4 linked regions of the Elephas maximus indicus genome follow. The protein of the gene in region 3 purifies or fractionates together with the protein of the main gene of each other region. This does not show direct contact. Links are inferred from orthologs where the notes say so. Each region holds a gene or a part of one and is shown on either strand. Other genes may lie near its edges.

Region 1 (7,455 bases), on a different chromosome or scaffold from region 3:
TCACGTTCAGGAAGCCAGGTTGTATCAGTTGCATATCGAAGGTTGTTAATGAGTCTTCCTACAATGCTGACGCCACATTTTTCTTCAGATAGTCCAGATTCTCAGATTATCTGCTCAGCATACAGACTGAATAAATATTGTGAAAGGATAAAACCCTAACACACACCTTTCTTGAGTTTAAACCATGCAGTATCCCCTTGTCCTGTTAAATGACTACCTCTTGGTCTAAGTACAGGTTCCTCATGAGCACAATTAAGTGTTCTGGAATTCCCATTCTCTGAAATGTTGTCCATAATTTGTTATGATCCACACAGTCCAACAATGCCTTTGCATAGTCAATAAAACACAGGTAAACATCTTTTTTCTGGTGTTCTCTGCTTTTAGCCAGGATCCAGGTGACATCAGCAGTGCTATCCCTCCTTCCATGTCCTCTTCTGAACCTGGCTTGAATTTCTGGCAGTTTCCTCCTGATGTACTGTTCAACTGCTTTTGAATGATCTTCAGCAAAATTTTACTTGCGTGTGATATTAATGATACTGTTTGGTAATTTCTGGATTCTGTTGGATCAGCTTTGTTTGGGATGAGCACAAATATGGATCAAGTCTTGTAGTTGTTTGGCCAGGTAGCTGTCTTCCAAACTCCTTGGCATAGATGAATGAACACCTCCAGCTCTGCATCTGTTTGTTGAAATATCTCAATTGGTATTCTGTCAGTTCCTGGAGCTTTGTTTTCCGCCAGTGCCTTCAGGGCAGCTTGGACCTCTTCCTTCAGTACCATTAGTTCTTGATCATATGCTACCTCCTGAAATGGTGGAACGTCGACCAATTATTTTTGGTACAGTGACTGTGTATTCCTTCCATTTTCTTTTGATGCTTCCTGCATTGTTTAATATTTTCCCCAAAGAATCCTTCAACATTGCAACTCACAACTTGAATTTTTTCTTCAGTTCTTTCAGCTTGAGAAATGCCAAGCATGTAAGACAGAGTAGAACTACCTCATAGGGTTTCCAAGGCCATAAATCTTTACAGAAGCCGACTGCCACATCTTTCTCAAAAGAAGCAGCTAGTAGGTTTGAACCACGGACCTTTTGGTTAGTAGCCACACACTTAACCACTGCACCACTTGGGCTGCAGTTTCTGCTTAGGGAGATGAAAACCATTTGAAAATGGGTAGGGGGATGGAAGGAATACACAGAGTCATTACACCAAAAAGAATTAGTCAATATTCAAACATTTCAAGAGGTCACATATGATCAGGAACCGATGGTACTAAAAGAAGAAGTCCAAGCTGCTCTGAAGGCATGGGTGAAAAACAAGGCTCCAGGAATTGATGGAATATCAATTGAGATGTTTCAACAAACAGATGCAGCGCTGGAGGTGCTCACTCGTCTATGCCAAGAAATATGGAAGACAGCTTCCTGGCCAACTGACTGGAAGAGATCCATATTTATGCCTATTCCCAAGAAAGGTGATCCACCCGAATGTGGAAATTATAGAACAATATCATTAATATCACATGCAAGCAAAATTTTGCTGAAGATCATTCAAAAACAGCTGCAGCAGTATATCGACAGAGAACTGCCAGAAATTCAGGCTGGTTTCAGAAGAGGACATGGAACCAGGGATATCATTGCTGATGTCAGATGGATCCTGGCTGAAAGCAGAGAATACCAGAAGGATGTTTACCTGTGTCTTATTGACTATGCAAAGGCATTCGACTGTGTGGATCATAACAAACTACGGATAACACTGCGAAGAATGGGAATTCCAGAAAACTTAATTGTGCTCATGAGGAACCTTTACATAGATCAAGAGGCAGTTGTTCGGACAGAACAAGGGGATACTGACTGGTTTAAAGTCAGGAAAGGTGTGCGGCAGGGTTGTATTCTTTCATCATACCTATTTAATCTGTATGCTGAACAAATAATACGAGAAGCTGGACTATTGGAAGAAGAACGGGACATCAGGATTGGAGGAAGACTCATTAACAACCTGCGTTATGCAGATGACACAACCTTGCTTGCTGAAAGTGAAGAGGACTTCAAGCACTTACTGTTGAAGGTCAAAGGCCACAGCCTTCAGTATGGATTACACCTCAACATAAAGAAAACAAAAATCCTCACAACTGGACCAATGAATAACATCATGATAAACGAAGAAAAGATTGATGTTGTCAAGGATTTCCTTTTACTTGGATCCACAGTCAACAGCCATGGAAACAGCAGTCAAGAAATCAAAAGACGCATTGCATTGGGCAAATCTGCTGCAAAGGACCTCTTCAAAGTGTTGAAGAGCAAAGATGTCACCTTGAAGACTAAGGTGCGCCTGACCCAAGCCATGGTATTTTCAATCATATCATATGCATGTGAAAGCTGGACAATGGATAAGGAAGACCGAAGAAGAGTTGACCCCTTTGAATTGTGGTGTTGGTGAAGAATATTGAATATGCCATGGACTGCCAAAAGAACAAACAAATCTGTCTTGGAAAGAAGTGTGGCCAGAATGCTCCTTAGAGGCAAGGATGGTGAGACTGCATCTTACATACTTTGGACCTGTTGTCAGGAGGGATCAGTCCCTGGAGAAGGACATCATGCTTGGCAGAGTACAGGGTCAGCGGAAAAGAGGAAGACCCTCAACGAGGTGGACTGACACAGTGGCTGCAACAATGAGCTCAAGCATAACAACGATTGTAAGGATGGCACAGGACCGGGCAGTGTTTCGTTCTGTGGTGCACAGGGTCGCTATGAGTCGGAACCGACTAGACGGCACCTAACAACAACAACAAGGGGGATGAAAACCATTTGAAAATGAATAGTGGTGATGGTTGCTCAACATGGTGGATTTAATTAAAATCACTGAATTGTACACTTTGAAATGGTTAAAATGGCAAATATTTTGTTACGCATATTTACCACAATTTTTAAAAACCTGTGGGATCATGCCACCCAAAGACTGACCCCTAATGTGAACTATGGACTTGTTAATAATGATGTATCAGTATTGGTTCGCCAATTGTAATATATCACAGGAATGCAAGATATTAATAGGAGAAACAATGTGGGGAGGGGATGGGTAAATTCAAATTATTTTCTGAACCCTGTTTTTGTAAACCTAAAACATCTCTAAAAATAACGTCTATTTAAAATGCTAAACCCATTTTTCTCCAAAAAAAAAAATTCATCCTCTCATGGTTTTGAAGGCTAGAACTCTGAAATTAAGGTGTTAGTAGGGCCATGGTCTCTCTAAAGGCTCTAGGGAGGATCCTTCCTTGTCTCCTCTTAGCTCCGTGTAGTTGCCAGCAATCCTTGGCTCATAGATATCACTCCCATTTTGGCCTCTGTCATCACACGGCATTCTGTGTTTTTGTGTCTGTGTCCAAATTTCCTTCCAGTCGTGTTGGATTTAGAGCCAACCCTAATCCAGTACGACTTTATCTTAACTTGGCTATATTTGCAAGGTCCCTACTTCTGAATGAGATGACATTCTGAGGTTCTGGATGGTGGGGGGAGGCTGTATCAACCCAGTACAGTAGTTAGTGACTGGAAGAGGACAAGAGGGGAGCTTCCAGGGTGTGGTAATATCCTGTTTCTTGATCTGGATGTCAGCTGTTTAGGTGTACTCTGTTTGTTCTGTAGGTACATCACACTTCAATAAAAAGTTCTGAAAGAATCAATTCCAGGTGGATTGTAGAGCTAAATGTGAAACGTAAATCAAGTAAGCCTCTAGTAGATGCTATAGGAAAATATGTTGGGGGTGAGGAAAATCTCTTAAGCAAAACACATACAACCCACTAATCATAAACGACAGTATAAACTGGATTACATAAAAGTTAGAAACTTCTCATCATCAAAAAAGAGCATTAAGAGTGAAAAAGACACGCCACAGAGTGTGCTCGTATCCAGAATATATAAAGAATTCCCACAAATCAATAATGAAAAGGCAGACAACCCAATGGGGGCCAAAAAAAACCACAAATCAATAATGAAAAGGCAGACAACCCAATGGGGGCCAAAAAAAAAAAGAGAGAGAGAGAGACCGGAAATAGACACTTCAGGAAAGAAGCAATTGGAAAGAACACTATACACATGAGAACAGTGTGTATATCGTGAGGCCAGCTGTAGCTGGAGGGACAGGACCCACGGGATTCAGGGAAGGGTCCAGGGCTTAAGGTCCCTGTCCTGGTGCTGGGCTTCGGGCCGGGACACAGTATGAGCACCTGAGCTGGATCATCCGCTTATGATCATGGGGCACAAACGCCTGGAACCAGGAGCCCTCCATGGTACAGCTACGCCCCAGGAAGTAACCCCAAACCGGATACGGCCTCAACGCCCGTCAGCACCTTCGGAAAGAACGAGCCGCGGGCGTGGCCTCTCGATTGCTTCGGCCTGGCCGACGAGCTGCGCGCGCATGCGCCGGCTGCGATCGGTGCTGCCTGGCGGCGGGGCGCGGGGCACGCTGGGAGATCTCGTCGGCGGGAAGCAGCGGGCCGGGGCGCCGGGAAGCGGGTGGCGGCAGGATGGTGAAGCTGACGGCGGAGCTGATCGAGCAGGCGGCGCAGTACACCAACGCCGTGCGGGACCGCGAGCTGGACCTCCGGGGTGAGTCCGGGGACCGGGCAGGCGGCACGGAGACCTCGCGGTCGCGCCCCGCCGCGTGCGCCGCCGTTCTGGGCTCCAGGCCGGGCTGGGCGCTGGGACAGCCCGGCGGCCGCCCAGCAGACCGCGCAGTAGGCTCCCCCGAGGTGTCCGTCGACCCCGCTTCTTCGCACGCACCCGGCTGAATCAGGTGCGTCCTGAGCCGTCCCCGCGGGCCCCGGTGAGGCCGTGTGCGGCGGGGCTGGCAGTCGGGACCCTGAGGGCCGGGCAAGTCCGACTCGGGTGGAGGGCGAGCGGGATCGCTTGTCAGTAAATACGTTAGGATAGATCGCATGCGCGCTCGTTATCCCTAGTTTATGCGGAAGGAAGCAAGGTTCGGGAACCAAAGCCACTGTTCCCTTTCTCCAGTCTTCTTGTTAGCTTTATTTGCCTTCTGTCAAAACATTTAAAAAGTGTTGAACTGTTTGACCTGCTCCGGGGTCTCTCTAACCACCGCCGCAGGGCCTGGCCCCTTCACTGAATCCCGTGGTGTACGTGGTAGAAGCCCGTGGACCTATTCCGATCCCTGCGGGTCTTTCACCCCTAGTTAGGCTTCTCAAGAAGTGGGGAGCTCGAGTTAACTAGTTGGCATTTCAGGAGATGGCTTTAGAAGGGATGTGAAGAGCAGCTTCTCTGGGGATCACCATTCTCCAATCCTGGTCTGAGATTTGCCCGCACAGGACACCCTCGGGGGAGCATCAGTGCTCTGGCTCAGCTCCTTTCTGCTTAGATTCTTTGCCGAACTTTTGGGAAATTCCAGTGCTTTCATTATGTTGAAATTCCCATTCTTTAGACAAAGGCTCAGTTCAGTGGTAACTCACCACCTCCACTATCTTTGTGCATGTGGATCTCTACCTTCTGTTTCTGAAGTTCTCCCAGTGTTGAGAATACTTGTTTTGGTGCAATACTTACCTTTTTAAAAAACAATAATACGTTTTATTGTTGTCGTTGAGAATATACACGGCAGTATCTACTCTGGTGTAATTCTTAACAGCTCTGAATTATGTACTTAAACTCTAAAAAAAAAAAAAAACTACTGCCATCAAGCTGATTCCAACTCATAGTGACCCCATAGGGTTTCCAAGGCCGTAAATCTCTAGCTGGGTTTATTTCTTTTTTTCTAGCACCTAATTATGCCCACAAGTCAGTGAGTATTTGAGCAAATTGTTACACAGTATGATTTACCATTGTGTATAAACAACTGTGAAGTGGAGCTGTGTACTTTGTGAAAGAAGTTGTTGGAATGAACAGTACACATGAGAAGGTGTTCAACTTCATTAGTTATTAGAGAAAAACAAATTAAAGCAGGAGTGCAGTATCACTGCACACCTGTCAGAATCACTACAGTTAGGGGCAGGGACCATGATGTCATGATGAGTTCTAGGGGACTGGCCTGTGTTAATGCAAAAGAGGCTGAGAACTGTTGTCCACAATGTTTGAACAAGGGTCGGACACTGATAGTTGGTAGCTCAAAGTGTAAATTCCTGTTACCCCACTTAATTAGCTCTAGGACCTTAATTAAATCATAGAGCCTCCATTTCTTCATCTCATTTTTAATGGACGAAAAACTTAAAACTTAACTTGTGGGTCAAAATGACTAAAACTACTTACGCTACTTGAATAGTGGGAAGCACCTTGTAAATATTCTTACAAATGGTAGTTATTGGTATTATTAGTAAGTCCTCATTCTCATTGTCGTAATCATCTCCATGTCCACTGCTAGGCTGTCAGCTTCATAGCAGCCGGGGCCTGTGGCTCCCTTGTTCAACATCTTAACTCCAATACCTAGCACAACGTTTGGCACATCCTAAGTGCTAGGTAAACACTTCATCAGTGAATGAAAGCTTTGAGTCAAATTACCATGAAACGTTGCTAATGTTACAAGGTGCATTTTAATTATGATAGTGTGATAACCTTTTGTGTTTTTTCTTTCTCTCTTTTTCTTCCCTTTTACAGGTTACAAAATTCCTGTCATTGAAAATCTAGGTGCTACCTTAGACCAGTTTGATGCTATTGATTTTTCTGACAATGAAATCAGGAAACTGGATGGTTTTCCTCTGTTGAGAAGACTGAAAACATTATTGGTGAACAATAACAGAATATGGTCAGTGTCTGATTTGGCTGAGTATCTCTCTCACTTCGTGTCTTCTTCTGTCTGTATTTAGCTACACCTGATTTCTAGAATATTACTCATTTATTTAAACTGAAATCTTCTTTGATTGTCTTTCGGCTCTGTGCAAATATAGGAAAAAGTTAATGAAAGTCTGTAGATAACGTTTTTAGGAAGTACTGTGTGGTGTGGTTTTGGCTTTTTCAGATAGGCACATTTCTCATAAATTAACCATTCACTTATGATATAGTTGTATGCCTTGTAGCTGAGCTATGAATGCAGAATTGTGAATTTCTGTGGTGCACACACAGAAAAGTTATGAAGAGGACTATTTGGTAGTATGTTTTACTCAGGACTCTCTCGTTTTCCTAGGTTTCACTGGGAGCTGTAGAAATGGAAAGAGCCCTAGGCAGCTGTAGGAGGCATGGGCTCTAAGTCATCCCAGTGTGCCATTGCCCTCAGAGCCTGAGCATGATTTCCTCCCTGTGCTTCACTTCCCCATCAGATAGGGGGTTGGAAGAAGGATCCCCACGGCTCCTTCCAAGGCTGGAGTCTGAAACCCTCGGAGGGAATAAGGACTTAGATCAATCATTAGCCTACTGACTTTTCACTTTTATTAAAAGAGCCATTATTTTTATTTTAGCCGTATAGGTGAGGGACTTGATCAGTCTCTCCCCTGTTTGACAGAACTCATTCTCACCAACAACAGTCT
Region 2 (7,294 bases), on a different chromosome or scaffold from region 3:
TGGTAAAGGGCCAATGAAAATAAGGGAAACCCATGATGAGACCGAATGACACAACAGCCACCATGATGGACTCTAACAAACCAACTATCATGAAGATGGCACATGACCAGGCAAGGTTTCGTTCTGTTATACTTAAGGTCTCTATGACTCAAGGGCAACTAACACTAACAACATCACTGAGGTGTTCCCTAAAATATCCATTTAGCCTTTGGATAAGGACTACAAAGTACCCATGATAGCGAAGGAGAGATACCAGTGTCTGTGTGTATAGAATCAAAGTATCCATAGAGTCAGTTTACAAACAGAACCTTGAAACTCTTGATGCCAAAAAAAAAATCTTAATTACACAAGTTATCAAAGTTTCTTAGAAAAACAGAAAACTCAGAAAGCAAAAAGGAGCAAAATCTAAAATTTTGTGTTTTTACTTGAAATTTCTTCTCCCAGGTATGTAATTTTGTTGATCTCTTTCCCTATTTTTTTTCTATGTACATGCGCCTAACAATGTGTATACACGAAAATATATAACTAAAAAAAAAAAAACTGAAACCATACTGTACAGTTTTAGTGAGCTGATTTCATCTACTCATACACTGTGAATGTCTTTAAATGTCAATAAGTATATCCCTCCACTACTGCCATACGCTGTGAAACATACCTGTATACCACCACTGGTCTGTCAGTTTTTCGTACTACGGTGGGTTGTATGTTGTTGTAATGCTGGAAGCTATGCCACTGGTGTATCAAACACTAGCAGGGTCACCCATGGCGGGCAGTTTCAGTGGAGCTTTCAGACTAAGACAGACTGAGAAGGATCTGGTGTTCTACTTCTGAAAAAAAAAAAAAAAAAAAAAAAAAACTGGCCAGTGAAAACCTTATGACAGCAGTGGAACACTGTCTGATACAGGAGCCGGAAGGTTGGACGGCACTCAAAATACAACTGGGGAAGAGCTACCTCCTTAGAGTCTATCTTAATGCTGTGAATGGAGTAAACTTTTGGGACCTTCATTTGCTAATGTGGCACAAGACTCAAAATGAGAACAGCAAGCAAACATCCACTAATAATCGAAATGTGGAATGTACGAAGTATGAATCTAGGAATATTAGAAGTTGTCAAAAATGAAATGGAACCCATAAAGATCAATATCCTAGGCATTAGTGAGCTGAAATGGACTGGTATTGGCCATTTTGAATCAGACAATTACATGGTCTACCATGCTGGGAATGAAAAACTGAAGAAGAATGACATCCCATTCATTATCAAAAAGGACATTTCAAGATCAATCCTGAAGTGCAACACTGTCAGTGATAGGATGATATCCACACACCTATATGGAAGACCAGTTAATACACCTGTAATTCAAATATACGCACCAACCACTAATGAGGAAATTGAACATTTTTAACCAACTTCTGTAGTCGAAATGGATCAAACATACCATCACAGTACACTGATAATTACCGATGACTGGAATGTGAAAGTTGGAAACAAAGAAGGAGGATCAGATAGGTGGAAAATAAGGCATTGGTGACAGAGACGACACTGGGGATGGTATGATAGAATTTTTTCAACAACATAAATGGTGACTATACATGTGTGCCTTGCCCAGTGGAATACAAAGGAATCAAATCGACTACATCTCTGGAAAGAGATGGTGGAGAAGCTCAGTATCATCAGTCAGAACAAGGCCAGGGGCCGACTGTGGGACAGACCATCAATTGCTCATATGCAAGTTCAAGTTCAAGGTGAAGAAAATTAAAACAAGTCCATAAGAACCAAAATATGACCTTGAGTATAACCCATGTGAATTTAGAGACCATTTCAAGAAAAGGTTTGACACACTGAACACTAATGACCAAAGACCAGACAAATTTTGGGATGACAACATACATTAAGTAAGCAAAAGGTCATTAAAAAGACAGGAAAGAAAGAAAAGACCAAAATGGACGTTAGAAGAGACGCTGAAGCTTGCTCTTGAATGTAGAGTAGCTAAAGCGAATGGAGGAAATGATGAAATAAGAGTTGTACAGAAAATTTCAGAGGGCAGCTGGAAAAGGCAAAGTATTACAATGAAAAGTGAAGACACCCAGAGTTAGAAAACCAAAAGGGAAGAACACACTCAGTATTTCTCAAGCCTGAAAGAAGGAAGTCTCAAGTTGCAATATTGAAGGATTCGATGGGCAACATACTGATTGCTGCAGGAAGCATCAAAAGATGATGGAAGGGATACACATACGTTCGACCATTTCAGGAAGTAGTATACGATCAAGAGCCAGCTGTACTGAAGGAAGAAGTCCAAGCTACACTGAAGGCACTGGCAAAAAACAGGGCTCCAGGAACTGACAGAGTATCAATTGAGATGTTTCAACAGATGGATGCAGTGCTAGAGGTGTTCACTTGTTTACGCCAGGAAATTTAGAAAACAGTAACCTGGTCAACTGACCAGAAGAGATCCACATTTGTGCCCATTCCAAAGAAAGGTGATCCAATGCAAATGCGGAAATTATCAAACAATATCATTAGTGTAACACTCAAGTAAAATTTTGCTGAAGATTATTCAAAAGCGGTTGCAGCATACATTGACAGGGAACTGCTAGAAATTCAAGCCAGATTCAGAAGAGGACGTGCAATGATGGATATCACTGCTGATGTCAGATGGAACCTGGCTAAAAACGGAGTACACTAGCAAGATGTTTACCTGTGTTTTACTGACTATGCAAAGGCTTTCAACTGTGTGGATCATAACAAATCATGGATAACACTGCCAAGAACGGGAATTCCAGAACGCTTAATTGTGCTCATGAGGAACCTGTACATAGACCAAGAGGCAGTCGTTCAAACAGAACAAGGGTGTACTGTATAGTTTCATGTCAAGAAAGGTGTGTGTCAGGGTTGTATTCTTTCACCATACTTACTCAAACTGTATGCTGAGCACATAATTCGAGAAGCCTGGACTATATGAAGAACATGGCATCAGGACTGGAGGGAGACTCATTAACAACCTGCAATAGGCAAATGACAAAACCTTGCTTGCTGAAAATGAAAAGGACCCAAAGCACTTACCGATGAAGAGCAAAGACTACATATAGCCTTTAGCATGTATTACACCTCAGCATAAAGAAAACAAAACTTTCACAACTGGACCAATAAGCAACATCACAACAAACAGAGAAAATATCGATGTAGTCAAGGATTTCATTTTGCTTAGATACAGAATTAACACCCATGGAAACAGCAGCCAAGAAATCTAACGATACATTGAATTGGGCAAATCTGTCACAAAAGACCACTGATCTAAGCCATGGTATTTTCAATCACCTCAGATGCAAGCAAAAGCTGGGCAATGATTGAGAAAGCCTGAGGAAGAACTGATGCCTCTGAATTATGGTGTTGGCCAAGAATATTGAGTATACCACGAACCATAAGAAGAACAAACAAATCTGTCTTAGAAGTACAGCCGGAACGCTCCTTAGAAGTGAGGATGGTTGAGACTTTGTTTTACTTACTGGACACGTTATCAGGAGGGACCAGTCTGTGGAGAACATCATGCTTCATAAAGGAGAGGATCAGCAAAAAAGAGGAAGACCCTCAACGAGACGGACTGACACAACGGCTGCAACAACTGGCTTAAACAGCAACGATTTTGAGGATGGTGCAGGATGGGCAGTGTTTGATTCTGCTGTACATGGGGCCGCTATGACTCCACAGTACCTAACAACAACTGTTTTATGTTGTGAAACATATCATTATACCTGTATCTTTGTGAATACCCGTAATTATTGCCTTAGAATCAATTTTTAAAATGCAACTACTTAGTCAAAAGGAATATTAGTAATTAAAGTTTTAGAAAGTTTAATTACTACTTACACCTATGGAAAAGTATCTACTATACGCTGAGTAAAAGAAGTATAAAAGAAGGTAGGTGGTATGATCTAATTATGTAAGATCATGTGTTACAAATGCAGAGACAGCTGGAAAGCTGTTTATCAAAATGTTAGTGGCAGTTATTGTTGACTTTTACTTTTTCCCTTGTGTTAAAGTTTACGATTAATAATAATTAAAATGCTTACAATGGGCTCTGAAATCCACGTGAACAAAAAAACCAAACCCGTTGCCAGGGAGTCAATTCCAACTCACTGCAACCCTATAGGACACAGTAGAACCGCCCCCACTAGGGTTTACAAGTAGCAAGAAGTTCCAAAAAACTGCTTTATTAAGGTGTATAAAGCATTTAGAGATGACACTGTTGCAGGGACCAGAAAAACATGCTGTGTACTTTTCTGGTTCTACATCCCTCCCCTATATACAGGTTTTGTTTGAGTTGCCACTATATAGCACTTGAAAACTCTGTTGGCATAGCGGTTAAGTGCTACGGCTAATAACCAAAAGTCTGGCACTTGGAATCCACCAGGCGCTCCTTGGAAACTCTATGGTGCAGTTCTACTCTGTTCTATAGGGTCGCTATGGGTTGGAATCGACTCAACGGCAATGAGTCTTTTTATTTTATATAGCACTTTGTTCAGTCTGCTTAGTATTAGATTTCAGTTACACGGTGTTTATCTTCATCCTTGGAAACCCTGGTGGTGTAGTAATTAAGAGTTTCAGCTGCTAACCAAAAGGCCGGCAGTTTGAATCCATTAGGTGCTCCTTGGAAATCCTATGTGGCAGTTCTACTCTGTCCTATAGGGTCGCTATGAGTCAGAAGCGACTCGATGGCAACGGGTTTGTTTTTTCTTTTTTATCTCCAGCCTTAGACTGAGAGCTCCAGATAGGAACTGTCATTACTCAACTTGGACTTTCCGTAACAGTAAGCACCCTACAGTAGGTACTTAGTAAGTACAGGAAACCTGTGAGAGCCAGAACTTGACAGGACTGCCTTGTTTTTCCAGGTCTCGCAATTTTTCACCTTTGACATGGTGCAGTCACCACTTTTCTATCACTTTCTAAAAAAAGACTCGTTGCTGTTAAGTCAATTTGAACTCGTAGCGACCCTACAGGACAGAGTAGAACTGCCCCATAGAGTTTCCAAGGAGCACCTGGTGGATTTGAGCTGCCAACCTTTTGGTTAGCAGCCACAGCACTTAACCACTACGCCACCAGGGTTTCCCGTCACTCTCAACTTAGTGGAAACCAAGTTTTCCTTCTCTGACAGGTTTACCTGTTTTACAGGTTTTACTGCACTAATTTGCATTTAACTAAGGCCATCTGCTAATTTCTTTAAAAATCCAGTAAGAGGAATGAACATAATTCTAGTGAGATGAGATTTAGTAAGAATATTCACAAGCAAGAAAATTTCAGCATCTGATAATACTTAAGCCTGCTTTTACAAGAGCTGCTCCTAAGCACCCAAAATGATGGACTAACCTGTTTTCCCAGTACATACCATGTAGAATGAGGGGCTAATAAATGAACTATAGAAATCAGAAGGCAGGCAAAGAAGGGATGGTGGAAAGACGTTCAGGTTCAGATGAATTAAGAATAGTATGAACAATCTTTAAGTGAAAAGGAAAACTTCCAATGATTTACTGGAAGCCTGCTGCAGACGGTCAGGCAGTGTACTAAAGATAACAGTCCCTGTTCTCCCCATGAGTTCACAGTATAATCTTAGCCAACAGCTACAAAACAAGGTGAGTGTTCTAACAAAGGTACTGCACAAAATGCGTTCACTGGTGGCTCAGGAGAGAGGAAACAACACAGGCTGAGTGGGGGGAAGGCATGGAAGTTTTCAGGAGATGACACTGATGCTAAGTTTTGAAATTTGAAGAAGCATTAGGCTAGGGAGGAAGTATTCGAGGACAGCATTTTTGTTTGAGGGAACAATAAGTACTACTACAATCAGAGAACTGGAAATAGTTCAGTGCAACTAGAGTTCAGTAGGACATTTGGGAGAGCTACACGACACGTGTCCAGAAAGACAGGCAGGGCCCAAGTGGCCAGTTTGGTATTCTATACTAAGAATATACAAAACAATATTCTGCTGGCCATAAGGCATATTTTTAAGCAAAATGGAGAATTCTTCAGGTCAGTGCTTTAGAAAGCACAGATGAGACAGCAGGAAAAGCTGGAGGCAAGGAAAGTGATTATAAGATTACTAACAGAAGCAGGGAAGCCCTGGTGGTGTAGTGGTTAAGTACTACAGCTGCTAACCAAAAGGTCGGCAGTTCACATCCACCAGACGCTCCTTGGAAACTCTATGGGGCAGTTCTACTCTGTCCGATAGGGTCCCTTTGAGTCAGAATTGACTCAGGGCTACGGTTTTTTTTCCCCCCAATGGAAGCAGGGATTCATACAAATACTAGTACACCAATGCTCACTGCAGCATTATTCACAACAGCCCAAACTGGAAACAACTCAAGTGTCCATCAACAGATAAATGGATAAACAAAATCTGGTATATATACATACAATGTTATTCAGTCATAAAGAGAAGTTCTGACACATACTACAACATGGATGAACCTTGAAAATATGCTGAGTGAAGTAATTCAGACACAAAAGGATGAATGTTATATGATTCTAGTTATATGAAACATCTATAACAGGCAAATGCAGAGAGAAAAAAGGTTATTAGCGGTTACCAGAGGCTGGGGGAACAGGGAGTTACTGCTCAAGGGGTACTGAGTTTCTGTTTGGGATGATGAAAAACTTGGAAATAGTGGTGATGATAGCAGAACACGGAGAATATAATCAATGTTACCGAATTGCACTCTTAAAATGGCAAATTTTTTTTATTATTTATAGTTCACCACAATAAAATTAAAAGAGAGAGAGAAGTCAGGTAAGCAGGAGAACTAAAAAGCCTCTATTGGCTGTACACCAGGCGTCATCAGGGAAAGCAGTCTCAGTGGAGCAGCAGGGCAGACCCTACCCTGCAGGGTTGAGAAGTGACTGGTATGTACGTAGACGGTAAAGAGGAATACTGACGGTGGGGGCATTAACAGAGCAATTTTGTTTTTTTAAGAACTTTAAACATGTTTATAAGCAAAAGCCAACAGAGAAATATTGAAGATGGGGGGGGGGAGGCGGCAGCAGAAAACTCACAGGAACAAGGTCCTTGAGGTGACCCAAAGAGGCAAGATCGAAACCTTTAACAAGAAAAGCAAGTGACTCTTCCTCCTCAGCTGGAGGGAAGGAGCAAAGGATGGGGCAAAGAGACAGACCACCACCTTCTGTCAGTTTGTCATACTGTGGTAGCTTGGGTGTTGCTATGATACTAGAAGCTATGCCACCAGTATTTCAAATACTGGCGGGGTCACCATGGTAGACAGGTTTCAGTAGCGTTTCCGGACTAAGACA
Region 3 (7,313 bases):
CTGCCCTGGTAATGAATTTGGATTTTACTCTACAGGTAAAAGGGAAAAACAGAAGAATTTTAACCCAAGGGTATGTGAACACCCATGTTTTAGAAAAATTATTCTATGAAAGACAGATCAAAGGCAGAGAAAACTGGAGTGAAAGTGACCAGTTACACGATTGCTATGATAACTTAGGTGTGAAATAAAAGAATGAGGGCTTGAACCAGGACACTGGCAATGTGGGTAGATGCCAGAGATTCTAAGAACAGGGTAATAGAGGATAGTCTAATACAGCTCCCAAATTTATGAATTAAGCATCTGAAAACAAAGAATATGACAGAAAAAGTAGGTCTGAAGGGAAGGAGTAGAAAATTTCATTTTTAGTCATGTTTGGTTTAAGGTACCAAAGGGGTAGCACAGTACAGCTAGCTGTCCATTAAACAGGAGAATTATGGGTCTGGAATGTTAATAACCATGGACTAAAGAAACAGACCTAGAAAGTATCAATGAATAATGAAAAATATAAAAATACGCGGAAAAGAGAACCAAGCACAAGATCCTAGGTGCAGGCAGGGAAAAAGGAGCCTATGAAGGAGGCTGAGATTGAGAAGTCAGAGAGAGGTGGAGGAGAATCCAGAAAAACAAAAGCCAAACCAGACAAGAATTTCAAACAAAAGAACACGGCCAGTTTCATGTACAGCAGAGGTCAGAGCAAAAAAGAAGGGTCCCCTAGGTTTGGAAATAGGTCACTTTTGGGGTGGAAATGAAAGGAAAGAATACAAGTAAAAGTTAAGGAAACAAAAAGTTGCAAGTTTAGGTTACTCTTCAGGAAAACTTAAATAAGAAATGGAACCGTGGCAGCACATGTTAGTGTAAACAATATAAAGTATTTTGTTTTTGTTTACATAAAAAAAAGGAGAGCTCTGGAACTACCTATTTTTGTTGAGGGACAAAAGGCAACAGCAGGAGTGATAACAAAACCCCTCTACCAAGCTCATCCCTTCTTTTCCCAGCAAAGAACACTCACCTGGATGGGGCATCCCACCTGGTGGGAATGGATGAGGATGTGAATGTCCATGTGCAGGATGTCCAGCCCCAGGGGTTCCTGCTGATGGGGGGCCATGTCCTCCAGCCCCAGGAGGCATAGGTGGCGGCGGCATGGCTGGGGGTATACCGGGTGGAAGGGCTCCAGGAGGTGGTACTGGGGGTGGGAAAGAGCCAGGAGGAGGCATACCTAAAGAAGAAATGGAAGAAGAGTTACTAGTACTGAGAAGATGATATCTTTAGAGAGCTTGTGCCAATCAGACCTCTCCAAGAAGGATGACCTCTTTTCCCCTCTTCCCAGCTCTCTTAAAGCCAGCAACAGTGTTAGACAACTCAAACAACTTCACTCTCCTGGAGAAACCCAACAACTTTCTTCCACACCACAACCATCACCCCCCCCAATGCCCTCATCACCCACTGACTTGCTGTCCTTTTTTCCGTTCTTTTCCACCCTTCTGTCCCCTCAACCCCAAGACAAACACATTTTGAATCAAAAGCTTTACCTGGCGGAGGAAGCCCAGACCCCAACGATGATACCACAGGATTGGGGGCAGACGGTGGAGGGGGTGCATCTGCAAACAGCTGGTGAGGACGGTCAGCCTGGGAGAGTGGGTTTTGGGCTGCCAGAAGTCGTTCAGCTGCTGAGCCATGGCGCTCACCCTTAGAGTCCTTCTTAAAGGCATAAGACACAGTGATAGGGCGGTTACATAGGTACTGCCCATTCATGGCCTCAATCGCTGCATCCGAAGCATCAAATGAAGCAAAATTAATAAAGGCATAACCCTTGGAGTTGCCTGTGTCAGGGTCCCGCATAATCTTGGGGGTTTGTAAGATGACCCCAAAGGCGCTGAATGTATCATAAAGCAGCTTCTCGTCAATCTCTGGGTCCAGGTTCCCAATGAAAATGTTGGCCCCTACATCCAGGTTTTTGTTGTGAGCTGATGCTTTGTTCACCCGTATTGGCTTCCCATAGAGTTTGATCATGTTCATGATCTTAATGGCATAGTCAGCATCTTCCTCACTTAAGAATTCCACAAAGCCATAACCTGTGTATAAAAAAGGGAAGGTTAACAAATGAAGTGAAGAGACTCGAAAGGGGGTAAAACTCATCCCCCACCAAGGCACAAACAAGAAAGAAAAAAAAAAAAACCTCACTTCAATGAGAATGGTTCTGGAAACAAATTATGAACTGAGGTTCAAAAGAAAGGATTCTTTAAACGCTACTCCTTACAAACACTGTGACTACTACAGAGCCCACCAGGACCACTACATCCCCTCAATACACAAATGCATGTCTTGCTAGGTACTCACCTTGGTGCTGGCCAGTGACTCTATCCTTTGGCATGTGGGTGTTGACTACAGGCCCTGCCTGGAGAAACAGCTCCCATAACAGTGGTTCGCTAACCTTCTCATCCAGGCCCCCCACGTACACAGTAGCATCTGAAGGAAAAGTGAAGGTTAAGGTAGGTGTGAGAGTATAACAAGAAATGAAGGGGACAAGAATATGAAAATGCAATTCAGGCAAGATAACTGGGGGTGGGTTTAGGGGATAAGAGCAAAAAGAAAAAAAAAAAAAGATGTTAGATCAAGCCCTTAAATCCCCTTCTTCCCAGGACCTAGAGAATCTTCGGAAGTCCAACACCGTGTTCTATTGAAAATTCTACCTTTCTCCGTGGACTTTGTATTTTTTTGAGTGGGAAGGCAAGAGGAAATTGGGCACAGAAGGCATCACACATACAGGCCTCAGCAAGCACCCGACCACCCCGCCCCCGGCAGGCATGGCTGCCGGTCCCGCGCTCTACGAGGCGATCCAGTCACTCGCCCCGGCAGTGACCCTGCTGGCTCTAGTCGGAGCCTCCCAGCTCCCCTGTGCCCATTCCGGGCTCGTCCCCTCTAGTTACCCTGATTCCTCTCAGAGATCGGCCCGGCCGCCATGGCGAACGAGCTCCCGCCGTCTCCAAGCAGCAGCCCCGCCCCCTGACCGCAGTCGCGTCTTCCACTTCCGGGGCAGAGGCCGTGGTAGGGTGGCGGGCGCGGCCGCGGCAGGAGAGGAGCCGGAAGCGGCCGGAGCCATCTTAGGAGGCGCCGAGATTGGGCGCGGCTTGGGATACTCTTGCTGTGGGGTGTTGGTCTTGCTCCGGGCCGCGCCTGCGAGCGCCCGAGCTGGGAGGGGAAACGGAAACGTTCAGACCCCGTAAAGCAGTGCTAGAGGTTAAACCATGCAGCTGCTCCCGAAAATGTAAATTTGAAAGCTAGAAACAAAACTGCTTTTCATGTATCTTGTAGCCAGGTGATCTTTTTTCCTTCAGAAAAGTGTTGAGGAACCCGCGCCCAAGGGCTCGGCTGCCTTCCACCTTGGCTCGCAGCCCTCGCCAGATTCGGCTTCACAGCTCCGGCCTGGGCTTGAGGTATTTTGTTTTCCCTCGGGCGGGTATTGCGGAATGTCTGAGCGGGGAGTGACGTCGAAGCTCGGCTAGCCGTTATTGCAGGGGGATGATGGGACACCAAAGCCAAGGGGTGGCTGGGATTGAAGCCCAGAGCCTTGTCTCAGCCGCCTGAACACACTAGCCCAACAACAACTCTTGATATGCTCCCCAGCTCTTGCCACATCTACCCCTAAAGTGGGAGGCACAGAGAAATGAACCCCTTTTGCCAAATTACATGTGAATTCTGCAGACCCTCACCTGACTCCATTCTCTTATCTCGTAATAATATGGTGGGTGCCTTCCTCTCTTGGGTCACACCCACCTTCCACCCACCACTCTTTGCTACCTAGAATCATCTATTCAGATAAATGCCAGCAACGTGTATAAATACCGTGCTTTAATCAACCTTTTAAATACAAATGTCACTGCAAAAATACACAGCTGGAGGAGGCAGGGTGTCTCCCATATCCACCCCATTCTCATGGAGAACTATAAGAAATATTAATTGGAATTAAGCAGCAAGAGGGGTAAGAATGAGGTCACTAGGCCATCTTGTTGGGATGATGACCAGCATCTCTGATCTCACAATTTAACAGCTGATATCCAAAAGAGGTGGTAATGCCTTGAAAAAAATGGGAGATCACATTATAGATTTTGTTTACTGATTTCTTCAAATCACGAGAAACAAGCAAACAAAAAATCTCGAGGAATCAAAACACACAGGACAAGAGTTGGAGAAGGTTAGCGCCACCCCCTGCAATGGAAACTCAGGCCTGCTAAGTAAGCTTGTTTAAGGGCTGGAGTGTGGAAGCTGAGGCAGCAAAACCAGATAAGAAAAATCAGGATTAGACAGAACCCTCCCTCAACCCAGGCAGGCCTCTTCCCTGTCTGTGACAATGCCAGCAGTTTCAGCAGGGTTGAGAGAGAATGGTATTTGGGTCTCTCTTCTTAGAGTGATCTTCAGGAGATAGTCTTGGTGGTCTTGGCGTCCATTTCCTTAATAGCTCCTGAAGATGGGATAGCTCATCCTGGAGGCCAGAGATTGTGGGAGCTGACAGGCCCATCTGGGGATGGGGCAAAGAGGGGTAAGAGGAATATTATTGCAGTTCTAGCCCTCTCCTAAGATACACTACGTCCGGTGTCTTTAATTCTCCTTCTCCTTCCAACTGTGCCTGGGGTTCCACTTGATCTAAGCCACAAGCAGTTTCCCCCGCCCTCCCAAAACTACCCAGTTTGATACCAACAGGAGTGGTACCTCACTTTCCAGCCCCTCCCCCTAGCCCCTTGCCATTCCAACTCCGGCTCATCTGGTTCAACAGTCAAGCCCTTTCTCCCACTCCCAACCTCTGTCTTCCCTTCTCACCTGGACTTCAGGCCTTCCCCTCAGGTAGCAGCGTTTCCAGAGCCTGATCTGGGGTCCCAGATTTCCAGGAAGCAGTAGCCCTGGGGGTAAAGGGCAAGCCCCCCAATGTGAGGGGAGCCCCCACTCCTGGTCAGCCAGGCTTTCAGTGGAGATGGCTAGTCGAGGAAGCCAACGAGAAGAGACGGCCAGTAGGGAGGGACTGTCCCGCCAAGGACAGAGGTGATTAAGGGGTGTCAGGGCCCCTCTAGAGAAGAGCCACACAGAACTGGGGGGTCCAGGAACCATGAAGCGTGACTGGGGGGGAAAGAGAAATCATTTGGCAACCTAGAAACCAGACTACCCAGTTTTCCCAAGTTAGGCCAGGAAGAGGCATCAGCTGCCACTGCACTAGTGATTGGAATTACAAGCCTCTCCCTGAGAACTGTTTATCTACTCTCCTTATTAGGGTTCAAACTAGGCCTCAGGACTGACTGAAGTTGATTTAGGGAAACCTGTAAAAGTGAATGCATGAGACAGGAAGAATAATAAACAGAGATGAGAAGGACAGAAAGGATGCCTTCTATGCCATTCTAGGGTTTCTGTCTTTCTGGGGACAGTCAGGGCTCATAAGTGACACCTGCATAACAGGAGTGGGATAGCTCCCCATGGGCAACTAAGATACTGTCTTCCCACTTTTCCCCGTCTAGTGGGATGAATCTGTGGGAAAGTCAGGGGAATTTAGAAATCACTGACACCTCACCTGTCGTCTACGGAGCCAGGAATCTGGGCAGTGCTCTGGGTCATAGCCAGGATTATGGAATTGTAGGATTTGTTCATTGCTGTAGCGTAAACCCCAGTCCCAGACAGAGAGCTGCTGGTTAACAGAGTTCCCAGGTAGGGGCTGGGAGTTCCGTGGGGTGTACACTTGTGTATAGGAGCTGAACTGAACAGAGGAAGCAAGAAAAGGGATGGTTAAACAAACAAAAAATACAGTCCTTTTCCCAAATCTAAAGAGAAATCATCATGAAACGCTCACCTCTTACTCCAAAAATCAAATATAAGGCAAAAGTCCAGTCTTGAGAATGAGCATCAACCTCCTCATCCCCACCCAACACTTCTTTACTCAAAACAAATCAAGGCTAAACTTCAGATAGTACATCTCAACGGGAAAAAAAAAAGACAGGTCAGAAATGGAAGTCACTGACCTGTCCACTCTGCTTTCCACGCTCCCAGGGATTATCTCTCAGGAACGTAAGGGTGTCAGGGACTCTGACACTGTCATGAAGAGCAAGAAGGAAAAACTCAGAGAATTCAAACTCAGCTGGAAACTGCTGGAGGAGCTGCCAGACACAATCAAGGAAGAGGAGAAACACTGGAGCCTGAGAAGAGGGAAATTAAGAGATTAGAAGAGATGGTGAAGACTTAAGGGGGAAGATCACAAAATGATGAGGGGTGGGGGACACAGGAACGGGGCACTAAGGAGGTCAGGGAATGGAAATCTGAACTGAGGGTAGTAGGGGATTGTGGGACCTCTCTCATTTTGGTCTCTGTCTAATCTCAGCCTAACCTTAGGATCCTCTGACCGAATTCTCCTACAATGGATTATACTATGTATTATTCTCATCCCCTTACTTCTTTAGTAATACCCCCCAATACACTCCCAAATCCTCACCTCCTCACTGGCCCCAGTTCCCCCAAGCCGGGTCAGGAAGGGGTGTCCAGCTGCCACCCACTCTCGTTGTACTAGTGATTGAAAGCCAAGCAATGTTCGGGCTTCGGGGGCTGAAAGCAGCTGGACGAGTGAAGAGAGGAGGCCATTGAGATCACGATCACCGAGCTCTGGGTGATAAAGAGAGGGAAGGAGCAAAGAAAAGGGGCCAAGAAACTAGGGCAGGAGAGAATGGGAAGAGGAAACATGGCAAGGAGAAGTGAGAGGCACAGAGGAGAAACATTTTGGGTTAGGTAGGATTGAGAGGGCACATAGAAGGAGTGAAGAGAAAATAAAGATCTTGAATGACTCACTTCATAGACTCCACCTGAGTAGAAAAACCCAGCTCAATGTAGGAGGCACAGTCACATTTGTCAAACCAGCTTTGGCATTGCCCTTCCCACCCCAACCTCAGCACCCATGCTGTGATTGAAGGGAGGGAGCAGAGGGGCGAGAATCGAGAATCGTAGGGTTAGGGATGACAAACTACAGTGGGGAGGCAGAGGTAGTATGGAAGGGTAAGAATTAGAGCTCATGGGTAGTTTCTGGTAACTGAAGAAGAAGCTAGTCCTACAAGGGGACAAAAGAGCCTTATGGGCCTCCTTCTCTGGGCAAAATCCAATCGTGGGTAAAGGAAAAAGGCAAGGAGTGGAGTGAGATGACCCAAGGAACTCACCTTGAAGTACTACAGAGCGAACTTTGGAGGTCACTAAAACTGAGATGTCACTGGCTTTTCGGAGACAAGACCTGAGGGACAGAGGTGTAAAATAAGCCTGGAGGAAGACAGTGATGGGTCATGGGATGGCATAGA
Region 4 (7,528 bases), about 7.4 Mb from region 3:
AAAGAGATGCACTCACATGTTGGCAGAATCTTTAGGATTACCACCAGGTCAGCCACATTGTGTCCTGTGGTCATTGTTCCCTTTTTATATGATCCTACCTGTCGGACTTCTTCAATTTGCTGTTGGAAAAGGGATTGCGGAAGAAAAATTTAGAAGAAAAAAGTCTGCCTTGTTCTTTTTGGAGCTCTATTACAACAAGCTTCTTTATTACCCAGATCTGGATGCAGCAGAGATCAAATCATATCCCCAAAACAACCACATGAGAGCCTGCTAAATCATGGATAACTGATAACGATGGTATGTGTCTCATTTCCAAGATCAGTACTACAAAGGAATGCCACTGTACTCTTCCACTTTAGGCTGGGATTTGGATAAAAGGCAACTGAAGAATTCAGACAGGAGCCAAGGAAACATCCATGGTACTAAGCCCGCCCTTTCCTAGAACTAAATCAACAAAAACTCACCACTTCAAATGTCCCTGGGGCCACGATCAAATTGTCAATCACATTGTTTATTTTTGTCACCAGAGAAAGGATAGAAGCCTGAAAAACAGCATGAAACAAAAATAACCTAAAGTGAAAAATTACAGTTTCTCAAGGTTTGAGTATTTTTCTCTAATCCCTTCTATACAAGCTGAGTCGGTACGAACATTAAAAAAAATCCCATTGCTGATGAAGTGATTCCAACTCATAGCGACCCTATAGGACAAGGCAGACCTGCCCCATAGAATTTCCAAGGAGCATCTGGTGGATTTGAACTGCCAACCTTTTGGTTAGTAACCAAGCTCTTAACCACTTCACCACCAGGGTTCCAGTACCAACATAAGGGCTTTAAAAACAATTTGACCCTGCTGGCCTTCAATATGCCAGAACAAATTTTGATCCCATAGATTCCCCCAATAAAAATCTGACTGCATATATAATCTGTTCATGTATTCACCTGGCTGTTTCCACTCATATGAGAAATGAGAATAATTAAACCTTCTGCAGGGTTTAGGCTTTGATAAAATTATTTTTAAACTCACCCATATCTACTTTTCTAACCTTCTCAGGGAAATCTCAGAAGGGAAGCCAAGAGAACATACCTGTTCAGCAGAATTGGGAGCAAGGTCCTGATTCCTCTTCAGCAAGGCCTCACTGAAGGATGTTTCATCAGGTGCTGGCTTGACCCGGGGGAAGGCCATTTCACACTGAACCAGAAATAAACAACTATTACATGTTCTATTTACCAAAAATGATATACAGGAAAGACTTATTTCTGCTGCTACAACAGAAAAAATGAAAATAGAAAATTCGGCACTTGGTTTTATTCCTGAAGATGTTAATACACGGATACAATCTGTAAGCAACAGCCATAATTTAAGCTTAAACTACCTTATTATTAACAGATAAGCCAGGAATACAATTAATTATCCAAAATAAAGATTATAATCATATTACTGACAACAGTAGCCAAAGAATTCTCTCTTCACCCTGCTGACAGTTTATGTGAAGCAATCTACAAAACCCCATACCCATTCACAGACCCCTTTTCCTACTCTACCCACCATTTGACTTCATTACAGGGAGATGTTGGGCTCCATCTCTACATCTACAGATAAACTGTGGCCAAGAAACTCATATTAACCCAAAGTAGTACTCACCAAATAGAAATCAAATGGGATATGAGGCACAAAGGGCCTGAACCTAAAACAAAAAAAAATAGTCTAAATTATTCACAACATAGAAATCAAATCAAATGAGATTTCTGGCACAAGCCAAAACAATGTTTTTATGTTTCCTTCCAAAAATTTGGTTTTCTAGCACCTCTTACATGCTGAAATCAAGAGGTACGTACATCTTTTAGCATTCCAGAGGTCACTGAGCCTCCTAAACATATAAAACTTTGAGAGAAAAAAATGATCACTCAAAATTATAATTGCATACTGCACCCCAACCTTTCACCCAACCACTGACAACTGGTAAATATGATCATATATCGTGGTTATAATGTATGAGGAATTTTGAAAACATGTCTGTCCTCCGAATCAGTGAGAGTCTGCTGGGGGGTATCCTTGTTAGGAAAGTGGGGTCAAACTCATCATTTAACAGGACAGCATGTATTGCTAAACCATAGATGGACCTCACAAAAGCGGACCATTTACTCTTATTTAGGTGTTTCAAACAGGAACCAACCAGTGCAAAGATGTTAAAAACTGGCACTCACCCTCCTCCTGGACCACCTCTGGAGCCAAAGCGCCCACCCCGACCACGGCCTCTGTCACCCCTAGAAATGCATAAGAGGATTTTATTTTCTCTTGACTTCAATGAAAGCATCTCCACTCTACCAGCCACATCATTTCAAGCTAGCCTGCCTCCATCGCTCTAAACCTCCCTTGGGAAGTCAAGCGACCCCCATCCCAATCATTTACACTTCTCCCCCAGCCCCTCCCCTAGGACCTCCTCATTCTGGATAATCACAACCCATACGCCAGGTAATGACGGGGCCCAGATACCGAGGCCCTACGAGAAACACACCATAATCCCTAGGACACGCCAATCCTAATACTTCTGGGACTATCAATAACATAGGCGCATATACTCTATCAAGCACTTGGCATTGAGGATGAATGCGACACGTTCCAGCCTGCTCAGTCTCAATGGGGGGTACTCCTCCCGGGACCTGAGCACACCCCCGTTACCTAAGCCCCTAAAGGACGAAGGTGTCAAACCCGCCTCCCCACTTCCAGGACCCACCCCATTCCCAGGCCCCAGTTTCCCGACCCGACCGGCCTCCGACCCCTCCCCGTCTTCCAGGACAGGAGTTATCAGGTCGTAGGCTAGCCCTCCGATATGCGGCCTCTTCAGCTCCTCCGACTTCCCCAAAATTCCAGTCAAATACTGAAAACATTCCTAGGGCACCCTGGCCCCCTTACCTCATGGCGCCCTAAATCCCGAACAATGGAGGCCACACAAACCGCCTCTTCCCTCCCGAGGAGCCAACAACTGTGGAGGCCGCTTGCCGGCGTGTCCCAACAAAACCCGGCGCGATTGGCTCCCGCCTTACCCCATCGCTTACGCCTATTGGTTTATCCTGGCAAACCGGAGAACCAATTAAAAAAAAAGCATGGTGTGTCAGGAATCAGCCAATAAGAGCAGGTTTAACAGCAAAGGCTACAATTTTTGAACAGACGCTAGATGGCGCTGTGCAACAAATCAGACACCCCCCCCCCCCCCCCCCCCCAGTACATTGAAAACTTTCTATATGAGTTTTGTGACACAGCCTTACCAGGTAGCAGAGTGGCGCAGCGGAAGCGTGCTGGGCCCATAACCCAGAGGTCGATGGATCGAAACCATCCTCTGCTATCCGGAAGCTTTTTGATTGCCCCAGCAAGAAGAATTTGCGTTATTTCAATTTCTTTAGTAGATGTGAGCTTCATGTTTCTAATTTCTCCTGCCTCAAAAATGCGGCATTCGGAAGCTGTGTTTAACACTAGCAAGTGAGATGGGGATTTTAGCTATTTCAGGCAGCAGTGCAGAAAGCTAGAAACTTGAGACAAGAGAAGCTAATTTCAGAGAGGAAAAACCCTGAATGGTGAGGGATTACAAAGAAAACAGAAGCACGTCTTGGAGAGATGACTCAGATGATGGGACCCTGGGAAGCGGCAAGGAGAAAAGTAGCGAACCATCCCTATTCTCCAGCTTCGCTCCAGTTCTCGCCTCACTTTACAAATTCTCTGGAATATTTCATCCTTCAACCAGGTTTCGTCAACAACATGTACGGATTTACTGTATTTGCATTTAAATCCATCGTATTACTATGTGCTCTCTGTTGTCTCACCTGTAATCCCTTTTCTCCCCTTTCTTGCCTTCTTTTGCATTCATAGAGTAACGTTTATTATTCCGTCCCTCCCTCCCCCATCAATTGAAAATTACATACATTTTTTTCTACTTCTTAATGTTGAGTAATGTATTATGCCCATGTAACCACCACCCAGGTTAAAACAAAGAACATTTCCATGACCTCCGAAAATCACTTCACACCCCTTTGCCCTGCCCCTAGAGGCAATCACTATTCTGATCTCTATTATTATGGATTAGTTTTTGTCGGTCCTTGAACTTCATATAAGTGGACTTATACTGTATGTACTCTTTTATGCCTGGCTTCTTTCGCTCAACTCGTTTTGAGATGCTCGCACAGATTTGCATTGATCAACAATTTATTCTTTTTTATTTCTGAATAGCATTCCCTTGTGTAAATATATCACCATTTGTTTATCCATTCTCCTGTTGATGATGTCAGGACCGAAAACAGGCTGAGACATGCAAACACTTTTGGGTTGTTTCCATTTGAGGTCATATATGTAAAGCTGCTATGAACATTTTTGTAAAAGATTTCTTGGGGTCCTATACATTCATTAATCTCGGGTAGGTGTAGGTGTGTATATGTACAGTATTTAAATTCTATATTTTAAGTCTCAGAAGACTTTAATACTTATTTATTAAATTAATGGTCATTTAGAGGAGCCCATATGTGTGCCATTTTAATGCTCTTTATACCTTCCTGCATCTCCAACCTTCCATCTGGGGTAATACTCCTTCCGCCTGAAGAATACCCTTTAGAATTCAGTGCTTCCCTACTGGTGGCTGACTCTCTTGGTTTTGGTTTGTCTGAATATATTTTTATTTCACCGTTGTTACTGAAGGATATTTTCTCTGGGTATGGAATTCAAGCTTGAAAGTTATTTTCTTGCAGCACCTTTACAATATTATTCTACTGTCTTATGGCTTCCATTTTTTGCTGTAGAAAAAACACTTGTCAGTCTAATTGCTGCTCCTTTGAAAGTAATCTATCCTTTTTTTTTTCTTTTTTAAATATTTTTTCTTTGATTTAGTTTTCTACAGTTTTATTCTGCTGGGTCCAGGTATGGATTTTCTTTTTCTTAACCTTGTTTGAGGTTTGTTGAGCTTCAAGAATCCATGGCTTGACGCCTTTCATGCATTTTTAAACTTCTCAGCCACCTCTCTCCAAATATTGCTTCTACTCTATTATTTCTCTCCTTCCTGAAATTCCAAGTAAAGGTGTGTTGGCCTTTCTCACAGTATCCTCTATGTCTCTTTCATGTTTTCCTTTTCTTTTTTGTTTGTTCGTTTGTTTTCCATGCTTTATTCTGGGTAGTTTCTTCTGTCCTTTCTTCCAATTCACTAATTGATCCTCAATCAAGTCTAACCTGCTGTTAAATGTATCGATTGATCCTTAATTTTGGCTTTTGAATATTTTGGTTCTGGATTTTCTACTTACTTTTTTTTTTTAATAAAAGCTCATCTTTCATGAAATAAGAATCATTATATAGCTTTTAATGTCAAATCAAAGAACCATACTATTGGAAATACAGCACTGTCCCATTCCCACAAAAGTAATCTATTTACTTCAGGTTAACTCTTCTCCTAAATTTCCCCTAGGAGTCCAGCCTTTCGGGGTCGGTCCTAACCTAAAACAGGAAGGTAGTTTACCAGAGTCCTCACCTTTGGGGATATTTGCATTCCAATTTTTGTCTCACTAGCCTTACCACCTGTCTGTCACTTTGTCATATTGTGGTGACTTGCATGTTGCTGTGATGCTGGAAGCTATGTCACGAGTATTTCAAATACCAGCAGGGTCACCCATGGTGGTCAGGTTTCAGTGGAGCTTCCAGGCCAAGACAGACTGGAAAGGAAGGCCTAGCAATCTACTTCTGAAAATTAGCCGGTAAAAATCTCCTGGATCACAACAGAATAGTTTCCAATATAGTGCTGGAAGATGAGCCCCCTAGGTTGGAAGGCACTCAGAATACACAGTGACTGCAACAATGGACTCCAGAATGCCAAGGATCGTGAAGATGGTGTAGGACCGGGCAACCTCCTATTCCATTGTAGATGGGATCGCCATGAGTCAAATCCACTGAAAAGCAGCTAAGAAAAACAACAGCCCGCCAGCCTATTTTCTGCCACCAGTTCTGGATCAGCAAATGAACCCAGGGCAAAAACAGCCCTACAGCTGGGCTCAGCTCTTTGTTTTCTTGTCCTTTCATCTCTCAGACCAACAATTCCTCACTATCTTATTAGTTCTTTGATTTTTGAAAAAATATTTCTTTCAGCACTTGTAGTTGTCTCCAGCTCAGTTATTTAGTCCAGCGATATTGAAAGAGGAGCTCAATAACCATATTTTTCGCAAATAACCTGCACACCTAAATAACGTATCCACACATATAACGCACATACTGCCTAGGAAAATAACGTGCAAGGGGGTTGCTCCGTTGGCAAAAACATAATACGTGCATCATTTGCATAACAACTCAGGGCTAAACTGTATATCTAGTCCAGTCATTTCTTCTGACTCCAGCTCCACTAACCTAGTAGCTAATGAGACACCTCCATTTGGGTATCCACAGTCTTCTCAAACTCAACAGACTAAAATTGTTTTCATCCCCACCCAGCCTCAGTTATTTGTAAACTGTCTTCCCTTCCCAAAAATCTAATTGATTCTACTTTTGAAACATCTCCTATCTACCTCCACTGCCTCTGGAGCCCCCCTTACAGGATACAGACATTAAGCAATCCTTAGTCTATCACTGTCATGGATTGAGTTGTGTCCCCCAAAAATGTCTGTCAGCCTGGCTGGGCCATGAGTCCCAGTATTGTGTGATTGTCCACCATTTTATGTGATTTCCCTATGTGTTGCAAGTCCTATCACTATGATGGAATGAGATGGATTAGTGGCAGTTATATTGATGAGATATACAAGATTAGATAGTGTTTAAGCCAATGTCTTTGAAATATAAAAGAGAGAAGCAAGCAGAGAGACAGGGGAACCTCATACCACCAAGAAAGCAGCGCCAGGAGCAGAGTGCGTCCTTTGGACCTGCCGTTTCTGCACTGGGGTGCTCCCAGACCAAGGGAAGATTGATGCATCACAAGGACCTTCCTTCAGAGCCAACAGAGAGAATCTTCCCCTGGAGCTGCGCCCTGAATTCGGACTTCTAGCCTAGCGGACTGTAAGAGAATAAATTCTCTTTGTTAAAGACATTCACTTGTGGTATTTCTGTTATAGCAGCACTAGATAACTAACACAGTCACACAAAAGCTTTCAGGGTCTGCCCTTAGCAGCAGCTTCTCCTCCTCAGTCATTCCCGTGTGCAAACACCTTACGTGCTAGGTCAGTCTGAAAACAACTCCTACCATGACTAGGCAGGTGATGTGAATGAGTGAAGCAGGGTAGGAACTTGGATGAACTAGGCTCATCCAAAGGAGCTGAGGAGTAATTTGTTCCAGTTGATTGATTATGGGGGCTGCAGGACCGATATTGCCTGCTCCTCCGATATTTCAAGAAAAGCCAGAAATTGAGATGTTTACGTGTCGTCTGCTAATTTTTTAATGCGGGAAATGAAATAAAATATAGGTAGAGAGTGAAGGCCAAACAAAACATGCCTGCCATCTGAATTTGGCCCGTGAGCGCCATTTGCAACCTCCGCTCTAGACCATAACAATATTCAAAATTCTCCTAGAATTCC

What was found.
Region 1: the proteins of SF3B4 (region 3) and SNRPA1 purify together in Homo sapiens (affinity purification with mass spectrometry; 3 studies listed by BioGRID and IntAct, counting the BioPlex papers as one, with this or other methods). This does not show direct contact. The link is inferred for Elephas maximus indicus from reciprocal best matches to the Homo sapiens genes SF3B4 and SNRPA1.
Region 2: the proteins of SF3B4 (region 3) and DDX42 purify together in Homo sapiens (affinity purification with mass spectrometry; 3 studies listed by BioGRID and IntAct, with this or other methods). This does not show direct contact. The link is inferred for Elephas maximus indicus from reciprocal best matches to the Homo sapiens genes SF3B4 and DDX42.
Region 4: the proteins of SF3B4 (region 3) and ILF2 fractionate together in Homo sapiens (co-fractionation; 3 studies listed by BioGRID, with this or other methods). This does not show direct contact. The link is inferred for Elephas maximus indicus from reciprocal best matches to the Homo sapiens genes SF3B4 and ILF2.

What each region holds. Positions count from the first base shown.
Region 1 is NC_064831.1:93,106,357-93,113,811, reverse strand, and holds the start of SNRPA1 (U2 small nuclear ribonucleoprotein A'), read left to right. Parts: upstream 1-4,444; 5' UTR 4,445-4,515; coding exon 4,516-4,597; intron 4,598-6,589; coding exon 6,590-6,737; intron 6,738-7,386; coding exon 7,387-7,455. UniProt on the Homo sapiens protein: Involved in pre-mRNA splicing as component of the spliceosome. Associated with sn-RNP U2, where it contributes to the binding of stem loop IV of U2 snRNA.
Region 2 is NC_064837.1:54,987,316-54,994,609, reverse strand, and holds the start of DDX42 (ATP-dependent RNA helicase DDX42), read right to left. Parts: upstream 3,001-7,294; 5' UTR 2,994-3,000; coding exon 2,914-2,993; intron 828-2,913; exon of another isoform or gene 656-827; intron 1-655. UniProt on the Homo sapiens protein: ATP-dependent RNA helicase that binds to partially double-stranded RNAs (dsRNAs) in order to unwind RNA secondary structures. Unwinding is promoted in the presence of single-strand binding proteins.
Region 3 is NC_064821.1:184,069,570-184,076,882, forward strand, and holds the start of SF3B4 (splicing factor 3B subunit 4), read right to left. Parts: upstream 3,012-7,313; 5' UTR 2,962-3,011; coding exon 2,928-2,961; intron 2,467-2,927; coding exon 2,338-2,466; intron 2,073-2,337; coding exon 1,530-2,072; intron 1,217-1,529; coding exon 1,010-1,216; intron 1-1,009. UniProt on the Homo sapiens protein: Component of the 17S U2 SnRNP complex of the spliceosome, a large ribonucleoprotein complex that removes introns from transcribed pre-mRNAs.
Region 4 is NC_064821.1:191,504,745-191,512,272, forward strand, and holds the start of ILF2 (interleukin enhancer-binding factor 2), read right to left. Parts: upstream 3,022-7,528; 5' UTR 2,920-3,021; coding exon 2,915-2,919; intron 2,266-2,914; coding exon 2,206-2,265; intron 1,686-2,205; coding exon 1,643-1,685; intron 1,190-1,642; coding exon 1,085-1,189; exon of another isoform or gene 1,052-1,084; intron 543-1,051; coding exon 465-542; exon of another isoform or gene 216-464; intron 120-215; coding exon 17-119; intron 1-16. UniProt on the Homo sapiens protein: Chromatin-interacting protein that forms a stable heterodimer with interleukin enhancer-binding factor 3/ILF3 and plays a role in several biological processes including transcription, innate immunity or cell growth.